Macaca fascicularis: one gene and its partner. The protein of the gene in region 1 purifies or fractionates together with the protein of each later gene. This does not show direct contact. Links are inferred from orthologs where the notes say so. Each region holds a gene or a part of one and is shown in the gene's direction. Other genes may lie near its edges.

Region 1 (4,590 bases):
TGTGAAGACACAGCAGGGTAACCAGGGAGAGGCGTGGAACAGGACGTGCGTTCTGGAGGTCTGCACAGTCGGAGAGAGCCGTGAGAAACGATGGCCACATTTATTGAGCGCCTACCATGATCTGTGCATCCACCTCACTTAATCTACCCCTGGGGAATGGAGGACATTAGGGTCCTCAATTTACAGACAGATTAAATAAAAAGTTGTTCAAGGTCAAGTAGCTCCTAGGTGCTTTTGAGCCTAGGTTAGCCTGACTCCTCATCCCACTAAGCAAGAACCATACTTGTGCCCAGCCCAGGGACTGGTACGTGGTGGGTGCCTAGTGCTGGTTGAATGAATGAGTGGGTGATAAATGACTTCTGCTAGGGTCATCAGGAGGCCTTCTCAAGGAAGTGGCACTGAGGCTGGACTTGGGGAACAGCAGGAATTCTCTGGGCAAAGAAGGTGGAAGGGCATTTTAGGCAGGAGGAACAGTGTGTGCAGGCAGAGGTGTGGAGACCCGTGGCATGTTCTGGCATGTTCTGGAATCTGTGGAATCAGGGTGTACCTGTGGATTTATGGGATGTGGGATGCCAGATAAGGTGGGGCCTGACTACACCACACTGAGGAGTTGGGACTGGATCCTTTTGAGTAGGGAGAGCCCACCAGGAAGGGAAACAGTTGTGGTGATTTGCATGTTGCTCTTCTTATGCTGACATCCTCAAGGCTCAGGAGAGCCAGAGGGGATTTCAGATTTCATCAGTTCTCCACCTGGCTTTGGGGGCCTCAGTCTCTCCCTCTCTGCACTGGGGCTAGTTGGTGATGGCCAGACTCCCAGGGAAGTTCTGCTGGCTGTCTAACTGCAGGTGTTCTCTCGTCCTACCACCCTGGAAGGAGGAGCACTTTCCCTCCTGTCTCCTCGGAGGGCTAGAGTGACGTGGTAGGATGGTCAGGAAGTAGCTGGTTTGACAGGTGCTGCTGGGGGTTCCGTGACACCCCAGACTGTGGGGCCCAGGCCTGACAGCTTGGGGTAATGGAGAACGACAGAGAACAAGAGACTAGGGTTTGGCCTTGTTCTGTCATCTCTGGGTGACGTTGGCCGAGTTTCTGAGCCTCTCTGGTACCCAGTCTCGCCATCTGTAAAATGGGGCAATGGTGACTGAGTGATCGTGAGGGTCCCTCCAACAGGGCCACCTCGGACTCCCGGAGTGGGGTGCTTCGGGTCCTTAACCGGCGGTACTTCGGGAGAGTACGAGGACCGCCAAGGAGAGGGGCCGGACTCCGTGGGACCCCAGATGGACCAGCTACCACCCATCCCCTTCCCGGCTCAGAGGAACTCTCTCCACCTGCCCCCTGGGGGGGGCCCACAAAACCCGGGAGCGGATCCAGGAACGGGTTCTGGGAGGAGCGCTCCTGGGGTGAGGAGGAAAACCCGGGCAGGATCCAGGGCAGGAGCGGGGCCAGCAGCCCCCAGCCCCAGCCCCTGCTCAGCGCCGCTGGCCCCGCAGGAAGGGGCCTGAGGCCGGGTTAGGCCGAGGGGCGGGCAGGGCGGGTCCCCGCGGGCCGCCGGGGCTCCCAGGATGGGGGACGCGCGGCCTCCGCAGTGGGGCGCGGGTCACGTGTGAGGAGGGGCGAAAGTCTCGCAAAGCGGGGCGGCGTGCCGCGAGTTGGGAGTTCTCGGCGCGCCGCGGGCGGCGGGAGCTCGGGCTCCCGGGCGAGCCGGGGACGCGGCCGAGGCGGGGGCCGGGGTCCGAGACAGAGGGGGCCGCACGGAGAGTGGGAGGGGGAGAGACAGAGAAGGACAGAGGCCGCGAGGGAGACGGACAGAGACTCGCAGGGGAGAGAGGCAGCGCGGGCAGAGGGAGGCGGGAGGAGGCCAGGGGGCGACCGCGACGGAGACGGAGACCCCGCGGGCAGAGGGCGAGCGGGGCCGCAGGAGGCAGGGAGGCCGGGAGAGGGACGGGGACGCGAGGGCGGCGGAGACCCCGGCGGCGGGAGAGAGACGCAAGAGCGGTCGGGGAGGTGGCGGCAGAGCCCGGCCGGCGGGGGCGGGGAGGGCGACCCCAGGCCGGGAGGCCGAGGGGTCGCGGGGCCGGGGCCGAGCGCAGCGGGGCCGGGAGCGGAGCGCAGGGCCGGGGCCAGAGCGCGCGACCAGGAGCGGGTAACAGCGAGGGAGCGGCGCGCAGCGGGGGGCGGCGGCGGGGAGGGCGCCTGCGGCGGGGGTGGGGGGCGCGGGCGGTGGGGCGCCCCGGGCCCCCGGACCCCCGCGCTCTGAGCCCGGCCGAGCCCGACGATGCTGACGCCGAGGCGGCGCCTAGGGCGCGGCGCGGGGCAGCGCTGAAAGTTGGGCGGCCCGCGGGGAGCGGCGCGGGACGGCCGGGACGCGCGGAGACCCCAAGACCCACGCGCAGACCGAGCGGCAGCCGGGGAGGGGGGCGCGGGCCGGCCGGCCGAGTTCGGAGGCAGGAGGCACCGGGACTCCCCTCTCCGCGCCCGGGACGCCGCCCGCCGGATCCCGCCGTGGGATGTAGCGCCCGCTCGCCGCCTCCCGGACTCTCGTCGGACCCTCCGCCCAGCGGTAAGCCGCGCTCGCCCACCCCGGGCGCTGTCCGTCAGTCTGTCCGTCAGTCTGTCCCGCCGCGTGCGTGTCTGTGTGTCCCGGGCCCGCCGCTCCGGCCCCTCCCGCTCCGCACCTGATCCGGAGCTGGGTCCCGGCTGCCCGGCGCCGCGCGCGCGGTCCCGTGACTCCCCGGGAGCGGGCGGGCTCTGTCCGTCTGGGAGCGTCGCGGTCTGGGTTGTGTACTGGAAAGGGGGAGAGAGGTGGGTGGAAGGGGTCTTGACCTCCTGCCCCGGCCATGACCTTTCCCTGCCTCCACCCACCCCAGTTGTCATGCCGGGGAGCTTCAAGGCAGGTGACTTGTGGCAAGGTGGGGGATGGCGCCTTTCCGCCTCCCCAGCTGCAGCCTCGTTGCAAATGGCCCTGTGATCTGAAGAACGAAATCCCACTTCTCATGTTTTGAGCGCCTGCTTTGCGCCACACGACCCCAGGGCGCAGGGGCAGGGATCGGTAGAGGAGGCACTGCACATTCATAGTGATAGAAACTGCGGCTGCGGAGGGAGGCAGAGGCTGCTTTTTCCTCCGAGTGTAGGGAGCACCCCAAGGCAAGAGAGGTCTCAATGAGCCTCCCGCAGGGAGAACTTCCCCTGCAACCGACCAAATATACCCCCACCAGTGTCAGCCTCCCTGCCCCCTACCCACACTTCTGCCCCCAGTGTCCCCGCTTCAGGATGGAGAGGATGCAGGGAGTTGAGAGGTGGCAAGCTGGGTGGGGTGGAGCAGAGGGTATTAGAGGCAGGGCAGCCTTGCCAGCTGACAGAGCAGGGCCTCAAGAGCAGTAGAATGTTCAGCAGCAGGTTTGGGGGAAGTGGGGAACTCAGGGAGGGAGGCCCAGAGAAGGGTTGGAGCTGTGTGTGTGTGTGTGTGTGTGTGTGTGTGTGTGTGTGTGTGTGTGTGTGTGTTCGTTCTCCCCCACATCGAGTCCCATGACCTCCATGGCTTCAGGCCTTTTGGGGGCAGTTAGCAGGACTTTAGGGGCCCAAGAGCATTGCTGTCGCTCTGGCTTGGCCTGTGATGAGGGGAGCAAAAGGTGGAACAGGGCAGCTGGGGTAAGAGATGGGTGCAGCATGGTGGGAACAGAGACTGTTGGCCACTGAGCTGACCCATATCCCAGCTGGAGTTGGAAGGGCTGAGCCTAGAACATTCCACTCCATTCTCATTGGGAGGAGGGACTCTTTCTGGGGTTTTCCACACTGGGCAGTGGGTCTTATATGTCTTCCATTCAGGCTCCCAGAAATTGGCTCAGCTGGCTGGGAGAGCAGCCCTCTGGGCTGGTCACTCTCCTCCCAACTGTCAGCTTCCATGTCTGTGGCATGGGGACATCACTCCCTCCCCCAGTGACCTCCAAGGCAGGCCCTGGGCTCAATGAGCAGAGGGCTGTTCACAGACTGGGGAAAGCGCTGGGGAGATGGGAGTAAAGACTTACTTTACCTTAAAAGACAGATGAACAGCTAGTGGGTGGAGGTGGACATGGGGCAGTGGGAATATGGTGGAAATAGAGAGCTGACCAAGGAGGAGTGTCCAGGATTAGAGTGGGAATCTGGGGTACTATTCCTCATGGCCCTTTGGGTCATCCTTGAAAAGAAAGCTCTTCTCTCAGAAAATCCTCTGGAGTGGCTGTGACCAGGCAGAGCTGGTTGAGTTTCTGCTGGGTGACCTTGGGTGGGTGGCTTGACCTCTCTGAACCTCAGTTTCTTCAACTGGAGAACAGGGATGATGATACTGACTTCATCAGGGTGTTGAGCACTTTCCAGACTGTGTCAGGTCTGTGAAAGCCGCGTGCGCCAGCCTGGAGCATAGTAGGTTCGTAGACATTTGCGAAAGAGAGAATGAAGTAGCTCTGGGAGATGCTGTGAGAAGATGTCTTAGCTTAGGATAAGAAGGAAGGGGAGGAGGAACAGTGTAGGCTTACAGGGCGGGCTGCTTCTTAATGTGGATCTGGGGGAGGCGGGGGCGAGTGCTAAGGGGGGTGTGAGGAGGAGGGGGCCCCTCTG
Region 2 (3,800 bases), on another chromosome or scaffold:
TCTCGCTCTGCCGCCCAGGCTGGAGTGCAATGGCCGGATCTCAGCTCACTGCAAGCTCCGCTTCCCGGGTTCACGCCATTCTCCTGCCTCAGCCTCCCAAGTAGCTGGGACTACAGGCACCCGCCACCATACCCGGCTAGTTTTTTGTATTTTTTAGTAGAGACGGGGTTTCACCGTGTTAGCCAGGATGGTCTCGATCTCCTGACCTCGTGATCCGCCCGTCTCGGCCTCCCAAAGTGCTGGGATTACAGGCTTGAGCCACCGCGCCCGGCTTTTTTTTTTTTTTTTGAGAGAGAGTCTCGTTCTGTCACCCAGGCTGGAGTGCAGTGGCACAATCTTGGCTCATTACAACCTCCGCCTCCTGAGTTCAAGCAATTCTCCTGCCTCGGCCTCCCGAGTACCTGGGATTATAGACATGAGCCACCACGCCCAGCCGATTTTTGTATTTTTAGTAGAGACGGGATTTCACCATGTTAGCCAGGTTACTCTTAACCTCAAGTAATCTGCCTGCCTTGGCCTCCACAGTGCTGGGATTACAGGCGTGAGCCACTGTGCCTGGCTAAGATTTTTCTTTTTTAAAGAAGAATTCCCACTAATAAATGTTCCCCACTCCAAAGAAAGAAAGAAGTAGAATATCATCGTTTTGCAGTCCCTGATACATATCAGAACCAGGCGGTGATTGTCAATGTGGCTAAAACTCACCTGAAAGGCTGATGGGGTGCCATATAATGGATGGACAGGGCTGACGACCCTGAACCTACCATTAATCTTACCTGACAGAAAGACAGCCAGACATTGTATCCTGTGGTGATGCCGTAGGAAGAACATAGCGCTACCTATGAAGTATACAGGACTTACTAAAAAAACCTCTGAATTGAACTTGAAACTGATCAAGCCTCCAGCATGAACTGCCAGTTTACAGGAGATACAGGGGCAGAGGCATAGGCTAAACAAACCACAGGAGGGTAAGCAGTAATTTCCCTGTTAGAATTTCCCTCATAGGGCCAGGTGCGGTGGCTCACGCCTGTAATCCCAGCACTTTGGGAGGCATAGGCGGGCGGATCACGAGGTCGGGAGATAAAGACCATCCTGACTAACATGGTGAAACCCCGTCTCTACTAAAAATACAAAAAAATTAACCGGGAGTGGTGGTGGGTGCCTGTAGTCCCAGCTACTCTGGAGACTGAGGCAGGAGAATGGCGTGAACCCAGGAGGTGGAGCTTGCAGTGAGCCAAGATCGCGCCACTGCACTCCAGCCTGGGTGACAGAGCGAGACTCCGCCTCAAAAAAAAAAAAAAAAAAAAAAGAATTTCCCTCCTAGGCTGGTCAAGGTGGCTCACGCCTGTAATCCCAGCACTTTGGGAGGCATAGGCGGGTGGATCATTTGATGTCAGAAGTTCAAGACCAACCTGGCCAACATGGTGAAACACCATCTCTACTAAAAATACAAAAATTAGCTGGGCGTGGTGGTGCGTGCCTGTAATTCCAGCTACTCAGGAGGCTGAGGCAGGAGAATCGTTCGAACCTGGGAGGCAGAGGCTTCTGTGAGCTGAGATCACAGCACTGCACTCCAGCCTGAGACTCCTTCTCAAAAAAAAAAAAAAAAAAAAAAGAATTTCCCTCATAGAATGTGGGAAATTCTTTTAGAGAAATGACCTAGTTTTTCTTAACAAATGGATGGCAAAGAGTTGGGGGGAAAAAGAGGGAGAAGAATTTTATGGATTAAGAGATTTGAGTGACACAGGAACCAAAAGAAAACTCCCAAAGCGTAATATTAATGTTCCCTTTGACTTCCCCATCCCTGGCATACTGAGGACATATAATGTTTAAATTCTTTATCCCTTAGGACAACCAGCCTGTGATGTCACCTCTAAATTCCTGACCCCTGACGTCACTGTGATCCGATATCCCCTTACCACCCCACCCCGGCGTCTCTGAGAGAACAACTTCCCTTCCACCTGACTTTGGCTCTCCTGGCACCTGGGGAGAAGGTTGGGTGGCGGATGCTGTTTCCCTCCAGGCACTTTCATCTCTGCCCTGTGTCTTCCTCAGCTTATTCTCAGCACCTGGACAACGAGATCAGTCACAGCAGCTACCTGGGCACCGATTACCCCACAGCCATGACCCCCACTTCCCCTCGGCGCTACTCCCCAGTGGCCAAGGACCTGCTCGGGGAGGAAGACATTCCCCGAGAACCGAGGCGAATTGTGATCCACCGGGGCTCCACGGGCCTGGGCTTCAACATCGTGGGTGGCGAGGACGGTGAAGGCATCTTCATCTCCTTTATCCTGGCCGGGGGCCCTGCAGACCTCAGTGGGGAGCTGCGGAAGGGGGACCAGATCCTGTCGGTGAGGGAAGGCCTGCCCCTACCTGCACCACCCCCTCCCCTCAGGGCAGAGCGCAGAGCTCTTGGGGAGGGGCCTGGGTGGGCTGCAGCCGAGTCCTCTTGCGGGACCACTCCCTGCTCCACCTGGACCCAGAAGTGCTGGCTTCTGTCTCTGGTGACACAGCCTGTCCTCCTCTCTCTAGGTCAACGGTGTTGACCTCCGAAATGCCAGCCACGAGCAGGCCGCCATTGCCCTGAAGAATGCAGGTCAGACGGTCACGATCATCGCTCAGTATAAACCAGAAGGTACCAGGCCAGAAGTTCCTGTCTTGTGAGCTAAAATGGCCCTTAGAACTCTGCCTCCTCAGCTGATGGCTTCAGTAGGGGAGGACAGGGGTGGCAGTAGGATGGGGACAGAGCTCAGGAACCTCCCTGTCCTTCCTCAGAGTACAGCCGATTCGAGGCCAAGATCCACGACCTCCGGGAACAGCTCATGAACAGCAGCCTGGGCTCAGGGACTGCCTCCCTGCGGAGCAACCCCAAAAGGGGTTTCTACATCAGGTCAGAGGCTCCCCGGGCTGGGCTCCTCCGCCCCTCTGCGTTCCTGGGCACTCCGTGCCTGGCCCAGGCCTCAGCCGCTCCTCCTCTCTACCCTGCCTGCTCTGACTCCCCACCCCAGGCCTGAGGCGCAGCAGGGGTTCATGGGCTTCACTGCACAGGTTAACGTTTGAAATACTCCCTGTCGATGGGAAAATAGCCTCTACCCCAAGTATCCCAGTTGCCTTCTAGCCCCTGGTCATCCCAGCACTTCCTCGGGACTCCCAGGCCACCGCACAATTTGGCTTCTCGAAGGTTAATGCTTGGTGGAGCATGGTCCTCTAGGGTATTTGGAGTGTTGCCCTAGCCTTCACATCCCTGTGGGCAGTTCCGGAGAGGTGGGCTGCAGCTCTGTGGTGCCTGCCCCCCTCTCTCCAGCGGTGCTGTGGGCAGTTCCGGAGAGGTGGGCTGCAGCTCCGTGGTGCCTGCCCCCGTCTCTCCAGTGGCATTTTCTCCCCTCTTAGGGTTCGTCTCCATTGACTCTTTTTGTGGCTTAGGTTTCCGCCAAAGCACATCTCCGTCCCGCCCCCACGGGTCACCCCCTACTTCTCTCCCCGTCTGGCCCTGTGGCTTGCATGGCCTCGTCTGCCACTCCGCTCTGCAGATGTCTCTCGGAGCTGTTGGCCCTGGCTGACCTCTTTCTGGAGGTCAAGACCTGCACTTTTGGCCATCTGCTTTCTGGCCATCTCCACTGGGATGTCCCACAGGCATCCCACACTCAACATGTCCCACACTGAGCTCACCATCCTGCTGTGGAACTGTGTTCTGTCCTGCTGTGCCAGCAGTTTCCCTCTTGCTGAATGGCATCACCGGCCACCCGGATGCTGGCTCCCACCTGAGCCCTTGCTCTGCCCTTCCTCCCTGCTTGGGGCCAGTT

What was found.
Region 2: the proteins of KCNJ4 (region 1) and DLG4 purify together in Homo sapiens (affinity purification with western blotting, with the first as the bait; 3 studies listed by BioGRID). This does not show direct contact. The link is inferred for Macaca fascicularis from reciprocal best matches to the Homo sapiens genes KCNJ4 and DLG4.

What each region holds. Positions count from the first base shown.
Region 1 is NC_088384.1:13,196,059-13,200,648, forward strand, and holds the start of KCNJ4 (inward rectifier potassium channel 4), read left to right. Parts: upstream 1-1,643; 5' UTR 1,644-2,557; intron 2,558-4,590. UniProt on the Homo sapiens protein: Inward rectifier potassium channels are characterized by a greater tendency to allow potassium to flow into the cell rather than out of it.
Region 2 is NC_088390.1:7,243,360-7,247,159, reverse strand, and holds part of DLG4 (disks large homolog 4), read left to right. Parts: intron 1-2,052; coding exon 2,053-2,348; intron 2,349-2,529; coding exon 2,530-2,632; intron 2,633-2,772; coding exon 2,773-2,887; intron 2,888-3,800. UniProt on the Homo sapiens protein: Postsynaptic scaffolding protein that plays a critical role in synaptogenesis and synaptic plasticity by providing a platform for the postsynaptic clustering of crucial synaptic proteins.